Saccharomyces cerevisiae S288C: one gene and its partners. The gene in region 4 interacts genetically with the main gene of each other region. Each region holds a gene or a part of one and is shown on either strand. Other genes may lie near its edges. The genes, in order: BER1, SCW10, TWF1 and PFY1.

The links.
Region 1: mutations in PFY1 (region 4) and BER1 impair growth when combined (synthetic growth defect), as found in Saccharomyces cerevisiae (2 studies listed by BioGRID, with this or other methods).
Region 2: mutations in PFY1 (region 4) and SCW10 together harm fitness more than expected from each alone (negative genetic interaction), as found in Saccharomyces cerevisiae (2 studies listed by BioGRID).
Region 3: mutations in PFY1 (region 4) and TWF1 impair growth when combined (synthetic growth defect), as found in Saccharomyces cerevisiae (2 studies listed by BioGRID, with this or other methods).

Annotation. Positions count from the first base shown.
Region 1 is NC_001144.5:946,807-949,696, reverse strand, and holds BER1 (Ber1p), read right to left. Parts: upstream 1,330-2,890; coding exon 505-1,329; downstream 1-504. Other genes in the region: high-affinity Cu transporter CTR3, read right to left, coding at 1,719-2,444.
Region 2 is NC_001145.3:878,563-881,776, forward strand, and holds SCW10 (putative family 17 glucosidase), read right to left. Parts: upstream 1,671-3,214; coding exon 501-1,670; downstream 1-500. Other genes in the region: ubiquitin-specific protease UBP15, read left to right, coding at 1-117; FKS3 (putative 1,3-beta-D-glucan synthase), read left to right, coding at 2,597-3,214. UniProt on the Saccharomyces cerevisiae protein: Glucanases possibly play a role in cell expansion during growth, in cell-cell fusion during mating, and in spore release during sporulation.
Region 3 is NC_001139.9:640,261-643,521, forward strand, and holds TWF1 (twinfilin TWF1), read left to right. Parts: upstream 1-1,749; coding exon 1,750-2,748; downstream 2,749-3,261. Other genes in the region: tubulin-binding prefolding complex subunit PAC10, read right to left, coding at 1-111; YGR079W (uncharacterized protein), read left to right, coding at 460-1,572; SLX9 (Slx9p), read right to left, coding at 2,888-3,261. UniProt on the Saccharomyces cerevisiae protein: Actin-binding protein involved in motile and morphological processes. Inhibits actin polymerization, likely by sequestering G-actin.
Region 4 is NC_001147.6:551,794-554,641, forward strand, and holds PFY1 (profilin), read right to left. Parts: upstream 1,095-2,848; coding exon 1,082-1,094; intron 873-1,081; coding exon 505-872; downstream 1-504. Other genes in the region: glycerol 2-dehydrogenase (NADP(+)) GCY1, read left to right, coding at 1-259; Paf1-complex subunit LEO1, read right to left, coding at 1,383-2,777. UniProt on the Saccharomyces cerevisiae protein: Binds to actin and affects the structure of the cytoskeleton. At high concentrations, profilin prevents the polymerization of actin, whereas it enhances it at low concentrations. By binding to PIP2, it inhibits the formation of IP3 and DG.

The DNA of each region.
Region 1 (2,890 bases), on a different chromosome or scaffold from region 4:
TTATCAATTCGCCCGCGAAGTTAAAAAAAACCGATCTTCGCAGGCACTCGTTAGAACTTAGAAACAGTTCCTCTTAGGGCAAGCGCCCTTGTCGTATTTAGCCTTCTTTAAGTTGAGCTGTAACGTTGTTCGAGTCCGAGAAGTATCCTTGACAGGGACGATAACCATCAGCAGGAAAAACGGTATTTTCATTTATATCCTTTCCTCGAGGAGGGCTTGAATTATGCAATCTCTAAATACTATTCAATTCAGAGAGTAGATTTTTGTGGGCAAAGTAGACGTCGCTCTCTTTCAGTATACGTTCTTGAGCTTTCCATTTCAATGAACCGGCAACTAAGTTGGTATCCTTTCATGATCCTGTCGAGTACATTTATAACAATCATGTTGATTGTTCCAGTATCATAGATAAAGCGGTCTCGTGTCGTTATTGATGGTAAAGCGTCAGGTTACGATGCCCTGAAAGGTTACAGTTTAGTTATAAAGTACTATGTAGTGAATGATATGTTAGTACTCTATAGCATGTAACGTCAAGTCAGAGAAGGAATTGATCCAGGGTTTTTCCTTCAAATACTTTCCTTCATCAAAATCGGTGAGTATTTGGCAGGACTTAAACTTCGGTGCTATTGAATCATAGTCTATATCAGATGGTGTGACCTTGAGTTTAGAGGAGTTGTTTCTGTTTTTTCTTTTTCTCTTTGGAATGAATGTTGCAAAACCATCTACATCATGTGCTTTTTTAACTTCTGGCGGAGCGTTAGTCTGCAAGTAATGAACTAGCTTGCTTAAATTAGGATAGTTTTCACAAAGTTTTGCTTTGGTGTATCTATCGGTGTGTGATATCATATTATTTGCCAGCCATAAGTGTGGTCGCTGTGACGATAGTATGTTCTCAGTTAAATCCAAAGGAGCATGGGGAAGGAAATATAATACCGATTCATAATCAATTGCATCGTTCTCTGAAAATTCTTCCTCTATCAGCCATTTGCTTCCTAAACTTTTCAAGTACTGTATCTCTTCTTTAGTAAATATTGGATCATACAGGGAAACAACGACATCCCTTTCATCCTCACTTTTTATATAATCAGTAATCTCTAGGAGAAGAGCGAATTGGTACGTCGCAGGAAAATCCTCCTTGAAATTTCCAATTGCAACACATCGTATTTTCTTAATGTTATTGAGGTGCGGTTGTAAATTTTCAAGTAAATCTGAGAGGAATGCTGATTTTTTCAGAACATCTCTATTTGTCTGAACAATTTCTTCAAACGCTTTAGCAGGCACTACCTTCTTGCCAGTTTTCTTAAACTTTGTCCCACTTGCTTTAAAATCCATACAGCAGAAGACCGGTCAAGGTCATTAACTTCGGTATCAGTTCAGGATCTTAGCAGTTTTCTAGAGTTCAAATAAGTTTTCACTTTTTTCATCGCTACACGTCGAGCAAGCATCATTCCTTACCCGACCCGCAGATAGTTTACTTCCCATAGAGCTTTTATTATAGTTTTACATCAACTAAGGATGTTCAAACCGTCTCGTTTCCCAAATATGCAGTCATGGAATATGAACACCTGGTGGTATTAGCTATTTATTTTTACACGAATAATTATTTGTTATTTAGCAGTCGTTACAAATAGTAACTTTTACCAGCTAATTATGAAAAAAATGAGGAAGGCGTCAATTTTTGAAACAAACCTCTCGGCTTTCCTCTATTCATTTTTGTCTTTCTACAAGCAGCATTTGCGATCATCACTCTCTTTATCATAACTCACTGTACCCTGGGCTGATCCATTAGCACCCAATGAGCCTAGAGGTTCATAGCAAAATATGAAACGACCAACGATAGCACCTATTAAACAACTAATAATGATATAGCCGTTATAGTACATGAACAGCAGCATGATGATATAAGATAACCCCCACTGTAATACGAAAATAGTAACTCTTATCATGTGATCCAAAAAAGTTGGGTACAAATCCACTGGCGTTATTAATGTACAGCATGATAGGACCTTCTTTAACAGGTCGTCTTCTGGCTCGTTCAATCTCCTTGGACCCCAAACGTAAAAACTATAAATGAAACTTTTTTGTAAGGAAATTAAAGTTGTTTTCCAGCTTGGTTCGTTGTAAAAGCCTTGTAGTTCTTCTATATCAGATTTAGCATCCTCTTCTCCACATTTGACAACGTACTCCTCTGGCGAGTAACTAGCTAAATGCTTTATTTTCTGTCTTTTTAATAGCTCTACGTCAAATTGCCTTGAAAAACGAGTAAGCCATTGAGCTACCACCACAAGCGCAAAACAGCCGATGCAAGAACCAGCAAATTTTCCTTTGGTGTCATTTCTCCAAGATCTGGCAATGAAGCAGGTGTCAATGGTATACCAATTCCATAACATCGATATTTTACAAGTCGCTTTTTTGGCAGCAGTGCTGCTACTGCCTCCCATATTCATCTTTGTATAGCCCTTAAATGTGTTTTCGTCTGTTGTTATCCCTCTTCTTCGATCAAAGTGTTAGGAAATGAAATAAGATAAATTACAAGTCTATCGGAGAAGTGAAGAGAATGTGGATTTTGATGTAATTGTTGGGATTCCATTTTTAATAAGGCAATAATATTAGGTATGTAGATATACTAGAAGTTCTCCTCGAGGATTTAGGAATCCATAAAAGGGAATCTGCAATTCTACACAATTCTATAAATATTATTATCATCATTTTATATGTTAATATTCATTGATCCTATTACATTATCAATCCTTGCGTTTCAGCTTCCACTAATTTAGATGACTATTTCTCATCATTTGCGTCATCTTCTAACACCGTATATGATAATATACTAGTAACGTAAATACTAGTTAGTAGATGATAGTTGATTTTTATTCCAACATACCACCCATAA
Region 2 (3,214 bases), on a different chromosome or scaffold from region 4:
TTGGACAAAGTTATATTGTATGACATTATGTCCAACTTAGATTATATCTACATGGATCATCCGGATAGATTGAGATCGCATTCTTCCTATGATAGACCAATGATCATTAAAAACTGATACGTCTTACGACTATGTTTAGCTTTGATGTTTTCTCCATTTTTTTTATGTTTTTTTATGATAATCTCTCAGCCGCCATCACTTCCACACAGGCAATGCTCTACAGTTTTATTTTGCTTTTAGGTAATGCCGCATATATATATATATATAAGTTAGAACACAAACTATAGAGCAGCGAGGACCCGTAGCTAAAAGGAAGACAAATTGAAAAATCTTTCACAAATGAGTATAGAATATATACTTTACACAAAACACATAAGTAAACAATAACGTGATAAGAATAGGAGAGCAAATATGGGAAAGGGCTTATTTCCCCCATATTTGGCTGCTTTTTAAGAAAAAGGGAAAAAGAATGATCATAAAGTAAATGAAGTTTCAGTGGTTTAATCACTTGATAGAATACCCCAGTATTTTTCAACACCGTATTGCCCATCATCTTTCCATAGATCATTGAAGGCGGTAAATAAGTAAGCTGAAGAGCCGCAGGAGCTTTTGATAGAAGAAATGGCGGCTTCTTGGTTTGCTTTAGATGGGACAGCTTCGCCGTAAGTATCACCCTTAGATGGCCAACCAGTTTCGGTAATAACGACGTCCTTTTTCCCACCACAAGCAGTGTAAACCCTTTCGATTTGTTCTAGTACCCATGGTCCTGCATCTTGGGCCGCAGTATTTTCATCGAAGTATGCATGGGCGTTGACAGCCATATAGTCAGAATAATTACACAGGTCAGGGTTATTTATAACAGCAATGAAGGTATCAACGGAAACGACTGAGCCTGTATAACCAGCAGAGGTTAAAGCTGACTTGGCCGTGGAAACGTATTCACCGACTTGCGTCGTAGTGGCAGAACCGCCATTGACCAGTTCGTTACCGACAGAAACAGTGGTAATATCATCCCAGGAGCCATAAGACTCAACTGCAGATTTAATAGTATCAACGGCGTCTTGAATTTTGTCAACGTAATATATGCCTAAGAATAATTTCTGGCTTGAAGTTTTAGCTTGCAAGACATTCTCAACCTGACTACAGTCAACGCCATATAATCTGATGTTGTCAAAACCAGTCAACTGTTCTAAATCTGAGGCGACTTGAGCAGTAGATTTACAGGACCCATCATCATTGTAAGGACTGTAAGTAATACCCTTAGCACCGGAGGCTGAGATACTAGATGAAGCGGAGGATGAAGCTGAAGATGAAGTTGAGGATGAGGATGAGGGTGAGGATGAAGTCGAAGAACCAACCGTAGATGCTGCCTCGGAAGATTGAAGAGTGCTGGTTTGTTGTTGAGAAGTGACGACATTAGCGGAAGTTGTTGGTTCTAAAGTGGATGTAGTTGCTTGAGAAGCAACTGCAGTACTGCTGGTAGTAGCTACAACAGCATTCTCGTTCACTGGAACAATAGTTTCGCCGCTGTTACCGGAAACGACAACAGTAACCTGCGCATGGACTGTGGCAGTAACAACGTCACGCTTTTCATGTTTATGGCGAACAGCAGGAGCTCCTAGAGCTCCGGTTAATAATGCAGATACAGTTAGGAAATTTGAAAAACGCATAATGGAATGAAGACTTTTTTTGCGTTAATACTATCTTTTGACAATTTGAAAAAAAGAACAGTAATAGTAAAGGAGAGACGTGACAGTTGGATGTTCAGCTCAATATTGCAAAAGTATAGTATTTAACTCTTTTATTTGGGCCTATATAATAGATGAATTTAAAATGGGAAAAATATGATGCACGCTTCAAAGATACACTGTAAGACAAACTTCACGCAGACATCTTTCCCTCCATTATAAATACTACAGTTTTGAAACAAACGTGGAAAAGAAGGCTTATGGATACGGCTCTCGATGGAGAAGTTACTGTACACATGAAAACACGAATAACTTTCAAACGCGTGCGACGTTTGTTACCATATTCAAACGTTTCAACGCGAATTTTTTGTCCGCTGTTTCGCGCAATTAAAAGTCTTGGCATTTTTCTCTTCAGGTTTTACTTCGTCCGAAATCTTCGAGGACTTTTCCGAAAAAGGTAAATTACTGCAAACGGTCTTTCGCGAAATCTAGACCGAAGATCTCTGGGGATATGTAAGGAACAAATATTTTTGTCATTGAGGGCTTAGATAAAAAGAAAATCTAGATGTCTTGCCTGAGAAAAAGAAAGAGGGAGGCATTCTTTCTTAATTATTACCGTGCCTGGTATCAGCATAAGTGAAGGCCGAGACAGCTTTCGTATATGGCTGTTGCACGTCTCTGAACTAATCATTCTCGCCCATCAAGATCGGACCATCTTGCCTAGTGCGGCAATGATGGTTAAATTATGCGGGTAAGAGTTTTACATGGTCAGCGGCTATTTGGCGAGAACCTTCAAAAGTAATTATGCCTTCTAGGATTTGCCACTATACAACTTAATCATTAAGGGCTGTGGAACTGCATATTGGGAAAAGAAAAACATACTGAGAAGGAAAGTTAAGGAGTTGAATATGGATTTTATGAGTCCCAAGTTTTCGCTAACTGACGTTGAGTATCCTGCTTGGTGCCAAGACGATGAAGTCCCAATAACAATGCAGGAAATTAGAGAAATTTTTGTGGAGCTCATGGATAAGTTTGGCTTCCAGAAATCTTCTATGGAAAATATGTATCAACATTTAATGGGACAGCTGGACTCCAGGGCAAGTCGTACAGGTGCTCAAAATGCTTTAGTATCGCTACATGTTTCATATATTGGAGGCGAACACGCAAATTATAGAAAATGGTATTTTGCCGCTCAGCTCGATTTAGATGAAGAGATCGGGTTTCAAAACATGCGACTACATGGAAAGGCACGCCAAAGAAACGTAAAAATGGCGAAGAAAAGAGGCGTATCGATAAAGGAACAAATTAAGCAATGGAATGAGAAGGAGCAAGAGTTCATCAATAACCATCCAAAGATCACACTGACTCAAGAACAATTGGAAGATCAGACAAACTTGAAAAGTGCAGACTACAAATGGAAATTGAAAATGAAAAAATTGACGCCCGAAAATATGATAAGACAGCTGGCCCTTTATTTGCTTTGCTGGGGTGAAGCCAATCAAGTCAGATTCGCCCCAGAATGCCTT
Region 3 (3,261 bases), on a different chromosome or scaffold from region 4:
GCACAATTCGAAGTCGCTTGGGTCCTTAATTATTTCGTTGACATTTTCGATGAATGGAGCCTGCGGTATGCCTCTGGCATTCTTTTCCGTGGAGTTGAACAGTGTGTCCATAATAACCGTAGTATCTGTTATATATGTGCGTACAGTTTTCTGCAGTAAATGTTGTCTACAATTTATAGCCTCTACAATAGTGTTAAACTAGATTTTTTCACTTTCTTTTCTGACCAGTTCTGCAAAATGATCGAAGAAACGAAACAAATCATGTGTTACCCGTCCTGCACAATCATGAGTGCCTGCGGTTTCCATATTGGAACGGCACCTTCCTTTTTTGGAAGTCACGTTCCTGCAGCGCGTTTCTTTTTTTTTTTTTTTTTTTTTTTTATTTTTCGGTTTTTTTCGCACGTTTCTTTTTGGTGAGCGAGAAAGCTCGTTGCCTCCTAATATAAAGGATGAGATGAGATGAGCAGTGCCGCAAATGAGGGATGTGTTTATTTGTTCATTGTCGTTTTGCGATTATCTTCGTTTTCATGTGTTAACTCATTCATTCATTCATTTACTCGTTCACGCACACGCAGCAGTTATTCCCTCGACGAGCGTTCACTTGTATCATATAGCATAGTTTACGTAGCAATGAATAAAAGCAGCAAGGCATTTCAGGTACCGAATAAGGTCATCACCAAGGAGGATATTACTCCCTTGTCCAGATCGCACACAAAGAAAGCGGACACTCGCGGGACAGCAGATGGTAAAAACACCACAGCCAGTGCAGTCGAGGCCACCCCAATCATCATCACCACTGCTCGTTCGATAGATACTGCCGGTTCACTATCTGAGAACGCCACCGAGGACGATGGCACCCAAAACGGAGATTTACACGATGATGACGATGATGACGACCTCGAAAGTACGCTCGGCTATAGTTCTGAGCCTGATCCTCTCTTCTCCCCATGCCACCAGCCTTCCTTCACCAACAGCACATTTAGTTACAGTGCGGACAATGAACTACCCATGGAGGAAAATCACAACAAGAATAATTTCCACGATAGCAGCGAGAGCAGTATCTTTCTACCACAGATACAGCAATCATTCTTTTTCGGCGACAATAGCAAGAGTGACGCAAATAATACGGACTTCTGGAAGGAAGTAAATGGCACTGCAGAAGAGGCCATTTGCCTGCAGGAGACAAGACAAAGAAAATGCTCCCTCGTGGCTCTGCATCCAGGCGACGCCACCACGAGTTCGAACGACACATTGGGAATAGAGGACTTCATCAAAGATGATATCAACAGTGCTGAAGCCATGGAACCCTCCCCATCTTCATCACCATCTTCCTCCCTTCTTGATAATTTGGACTACAATATCAAGTTATTGTGCTACAGAGACAATGAGGGCAAGTTCACCTTGAAAAAAAGGAAGTTTTTGAAGAATTCCCTGCGCTCATCCTCTGCAATTTCTAAAAAGTGGAAACCCTTGTCTAAAAGAGATAAGCTGTTGAAGAGGGCCATAAGAAGAAAGAGTGGTGTTTGCCAGACGTTATCAGCTGGTTTTGGTATCGGTGAATTCATGTTGTAATAACAGTACTATTAACAGTACAATAAATAGATTCTTTTTATACAGTGTTAGGGTAACTTGTTTTTGTAGGATTTGAAAAATATGTCATTATAAGATCTATATCTTTTACTATTTGGACAAGTTGGCTAATTTGATAGGCAATTGAATAAGAAGGAACTCTGTATCTCAACACATCACATGTCTACTCAATCCGGTATAGTCGCAGAACAAGCCTTGCTGCATTCTCTGAATGAAAATCTTTCAGCAGATGGCATCGTCATCATTATAGCCAAAATTTCCCCTGATTCTACCTCGGTACATCAAACGCAAGTCGCACGTAGCTTCGAGGAGCTGGTACAGTTGGCATCACAAGAAAGAGAACCGTTGTACATCTTCTATAAGCCGGAAGGGCTTGATAAGTACTTCTTTGTGTCATTCATCCCCGATGGTTCTCCGGTAAGATCAAGAATGCTTTATGCCTCGACGAAGAACACTCTGGCAAGACAGGTAGGTTCAAACTCTTTATCCACCGAACAGCCATTGATCACAGATGCACAGGACTTGGTGGATTTGAAAAATTTTGATAGTGCCCGTCCTGCTGGCCAGAATAAGCCCTTGACACATGATGAAGAAATGCAAATCGAAATCAATAAGCAACAGGCACTTTTAAGGAAAAACACATCCGTCAAGTTGGTTTCTCAGGACAGTGCTTCGCCTTTATCGTTAACTTTCAGGGTCAATTCTGAGAAACCTATCAATGAAATACTGGATAGCGAGGGTAAAAATTTAATCATATTTCAAATCGATCCCTCGAACGAAACCATCCAGATCGTGCAATCTGATACATGTCCCTCCGTAGATGAACTGTACATTGACTTGCCCGGGCCAAGTTACACGATTTTCAGGCAGGGTGATTCAAGTTTCTTTATCTACTCTTGTCCCTCTGGCAGCAAAGTCAAAGATAGAATGATATATGCTTCTAACAAGAATGGATTTATCAACTACTTGAAAAATGATCAAAAAATCGCATTTAGTAAAGTGGTAGAAATTGGCGATTTTGTGGAACTAGACAAGTCCTTACTTATGGCAACAAATAAAGAAGATAGCCTCGATCATGGATCCAATCCAGATCTCCCAAACAAAAGCAATTTGAAATTCAACAAACCAAAGGGCCCATTGAGGAAAAGAAGAACATAGAGATAGAAATGGCATCTATATATGTGTGACCAACAATACATACGTTTTTATTCTTCTAAATATGAAACTGAATGTTTTTCTAGGTTTGCTGGAATATATATTACACTGGCAAAAATTGTTATGCTATGCTATTTAATGTTCATTGTTTTTGCAGCTTGATAACCTCTCTTAAGGCGCCAAATGGATTTTTTTGGAAATCTTGATTGGTTAGGACCTGATTGAATCTTGCAGTTTCGTTAGCAGCCAATGCCTTTGCACCCTTTTGGTTCCTGATATTTGGCTGATTCTTTTTTATCCTAACAGAACCAGGTTCTATCTTTTTCAAGTTCATTTCCTTTGTGTCCACAAACCTTATTTTAGAATCCATGTCGATGTCATCATCGTTATTCATGTCTTTGCTACTATTTTCAATAATGCCCCGTAAATCCTTTTCTTGCTCCAAAGAAGTGAGCAGATCTTGCATTCTTGGTTTTAGTTCTTCTCTTAGCTTTCTTTTCCTACGTCTAATGGAAG
Region 4 (2,848 bases):
TCCACTATTGAAGGAACCGGTTATCCTTGAAATTGCGAAGAAAAATAACGTTCAACCCGGACACGTTGTTATTAGCTGGCACGTCCAAAGAGGTTATGTTGTCTTGCCAAAATCTGTGAATCCCGATCGAATCAAAACGAACAGGAAAATATTTACTTTGTCTACTGAGGACTTTGAAGCTATCAATAACATATCGAAGGAAAAGGGCGAAAAAAGGGTTGTACATCCAAATTGGTCTCCTTTCGAAGTATTCAAGTAATTGTTTTTGCGTGTTTCTCGTATGATTGTAATATGTAGATAAATTAAACATAAGTATATCAAATGTCGATATTCTTAAGACTGTTTCGTAAATATGTTAAATACCGGATGTGACTACATATAAAAAGTGCGCCTTTTACAGTGATAATTAGCGTCAATCAATAAAATATTTGTAAAATAGGAAGCGAAATCCCGCAGATGCCAGAATAGGTGGTGTATAAGGCAAGAAAACTTTACCTGCATAAATTAGTATTGAACACCAATCAAGTAGTCAGCCAATTGCTCGACAATCTTGGTGGCCTCACCGGCTTGTACGGTTGGTGGATAATGAGCAATAATAACGGTTTGCTTAGTTCTTACACAAACAACACCCTCAGCATCATGTCTACCGTAGATACTTCTATCGTCAGCTCTCAACAACATGAACTTTTGGCCTTGAATATGCAAACCATTGCTTTGCAAACCAGCTGGATTGTCGAAGCCTTGAACAATTTCACCAATTTCGTTTGGTTGCAAAGATAGGCCACCAGAAGTAGCCCAAACAGCGTCACCTGCTCTCGAGTAGATGACAGCTTTGTCGACTTTACCGGTTCCTATTAAGTTATCAGTGTATGCTGTTTAAAAGTAGGAGAAAAAAACGGAAAGAAATTCATGTTTGAAATTTCATATGTTTTTTGATATTCCAGTTAGTAATTTACTCTGAGTGGTTAATCTTCGAAATTACGCGCATCAACAAAAATCGGGCATTGCCAAACATTGTCACACAAGCTAACCTCCGACTCATTTCTTTCTTAATCAATTGATAATTGTCTCGTTCACATACCTTGCCAAGACATAATTTGCGATCGTAGTTGGGTTTATGTTGTGTATGTAATTTATCTTTTCTCAAGGATCACACAGTTGTTTTAAGAAGGGAATGAGAAAGGGTCAACTGAGCTTTAAAAAGAAAAAAAATATTAATGCGGGTAATGAGTTTCGTACAAAGACATTTCATGGCGTGTTCTCGCCAAAAATCATGGTAAAACCTCCCACACAGTAACCTCATACTAAATACTACAACATGTCATCACTCCATTTCTTTGCGATTGTACATACTAATATATATAAACAAAGTAACGTCTCCTCTAATCCTCGTCTTCGTCGTCCTCGATGACCGCAACCCTTCTTCTTTTTGTCTCGCTCCTATCTTTTTCTTCTTCTTCCTCTTCTCTGTACATTGCTGCTCCTTCTCTTTTTAAATTTCTTAGACGAGAGGCGTTCTCTTCATCCGCGTCCTCTTCTTCTTCTTCTTCCTCATTATCATCCTCTTCGTCGTCAAACGCAGCCTCCTCTTCCTCATCGTCGTCGACTAAAAAGTCATCTTCTTCATATTCATTTCTTCTCGAGGCTCCATAGGTAGTGGGTGAATTTTGCTTTCTAAATCCCGTCTCAAAAGCGGCATCTGGGGATTCTTGTTTCTCCTTTTCTTTGAGCTGTCTTCTCCTTCTGTCTCTTAAAATCTGGCTTTGCTTTCTCTCTAACTCCTTCTTTTCCACTTCAGGATCCATACTTACAATGTATGTTCCAGGACCCTTGCTTTGTCTTTGGTTCCTTCTTATAACAGCTTTACTTAGTTTTTGATGTATTTTTGAATTCGTCGAAGTTGGAATAAACATCAACGTCTTTTTTATTTCACCCCCTTCGTAACACTGGATCAACTCTTGTTGGTCATGCGATACTGTCAAAAAAGTGTTGCTCGTATCGTTGACCAATATATCTGTACACTCTTCACCAACTTTTAGCGAATATGTACCGTCTGACCACTGCACTATTTGTGTATTTGATTCTTTAAAGACATGTTGGTCTTTGTCACGAGAGTATCTCCATCTAACAGTGTTTTCATCAATCAGGCGGTCGTCCAGTTGATCCTCCCTAGAAGCTGAATTGCTTGCCCTTTCGTTTACTTTGGCCTCAAAACTTGGAGGGTCGAAAGGAATTGGATCGATAGTTAAAAAGTTGGGAATTCTAGCATAGAAAATTTCGTTGTGAGACGCCGTTTCATTCACATTAGCTTTACTTGGAATAATATGTCTGACAAGCTCTACATTTTCCTCTTTAAAAGTGTGAGTAGTCTCATCTTGATCAGAAAAGTTATTAGCATCCTCACCATAAAATTTTCGGGTGTACATGGCTTGCTCCTCTGCTTCATCATCATCTAACCCGAGACTTTCTCTATGACGACTTCTATGGTTGATATTCTCTCCCTCGTCGTCTTCATCACTATCACTATCACTTTTTTCAGTCTCCGATTTTTTAACATCATCATCATCATCGTCATCATTGTCATCTCCAAATAAATCATCTAGTTCTGCGTCTTCTTCTTGTTCCTCTTCTTTAGTATCATCATTTCCATTGACTTCCTTGACATTATCATCTTGAGAGCGGCTTGTTTCCTCATTGCTTGTACTATTGGTGGTAACGCCGACGTTATTGCTGATTTGCTCCTTCTGTGGTTGATCCTGTGGGCTTTCAGATGACATCTTAATTATAGTCCAGTATATCTAATTGGATTACTTTGATTGGACGCACCTAGTTTACGCAACCTATCTAC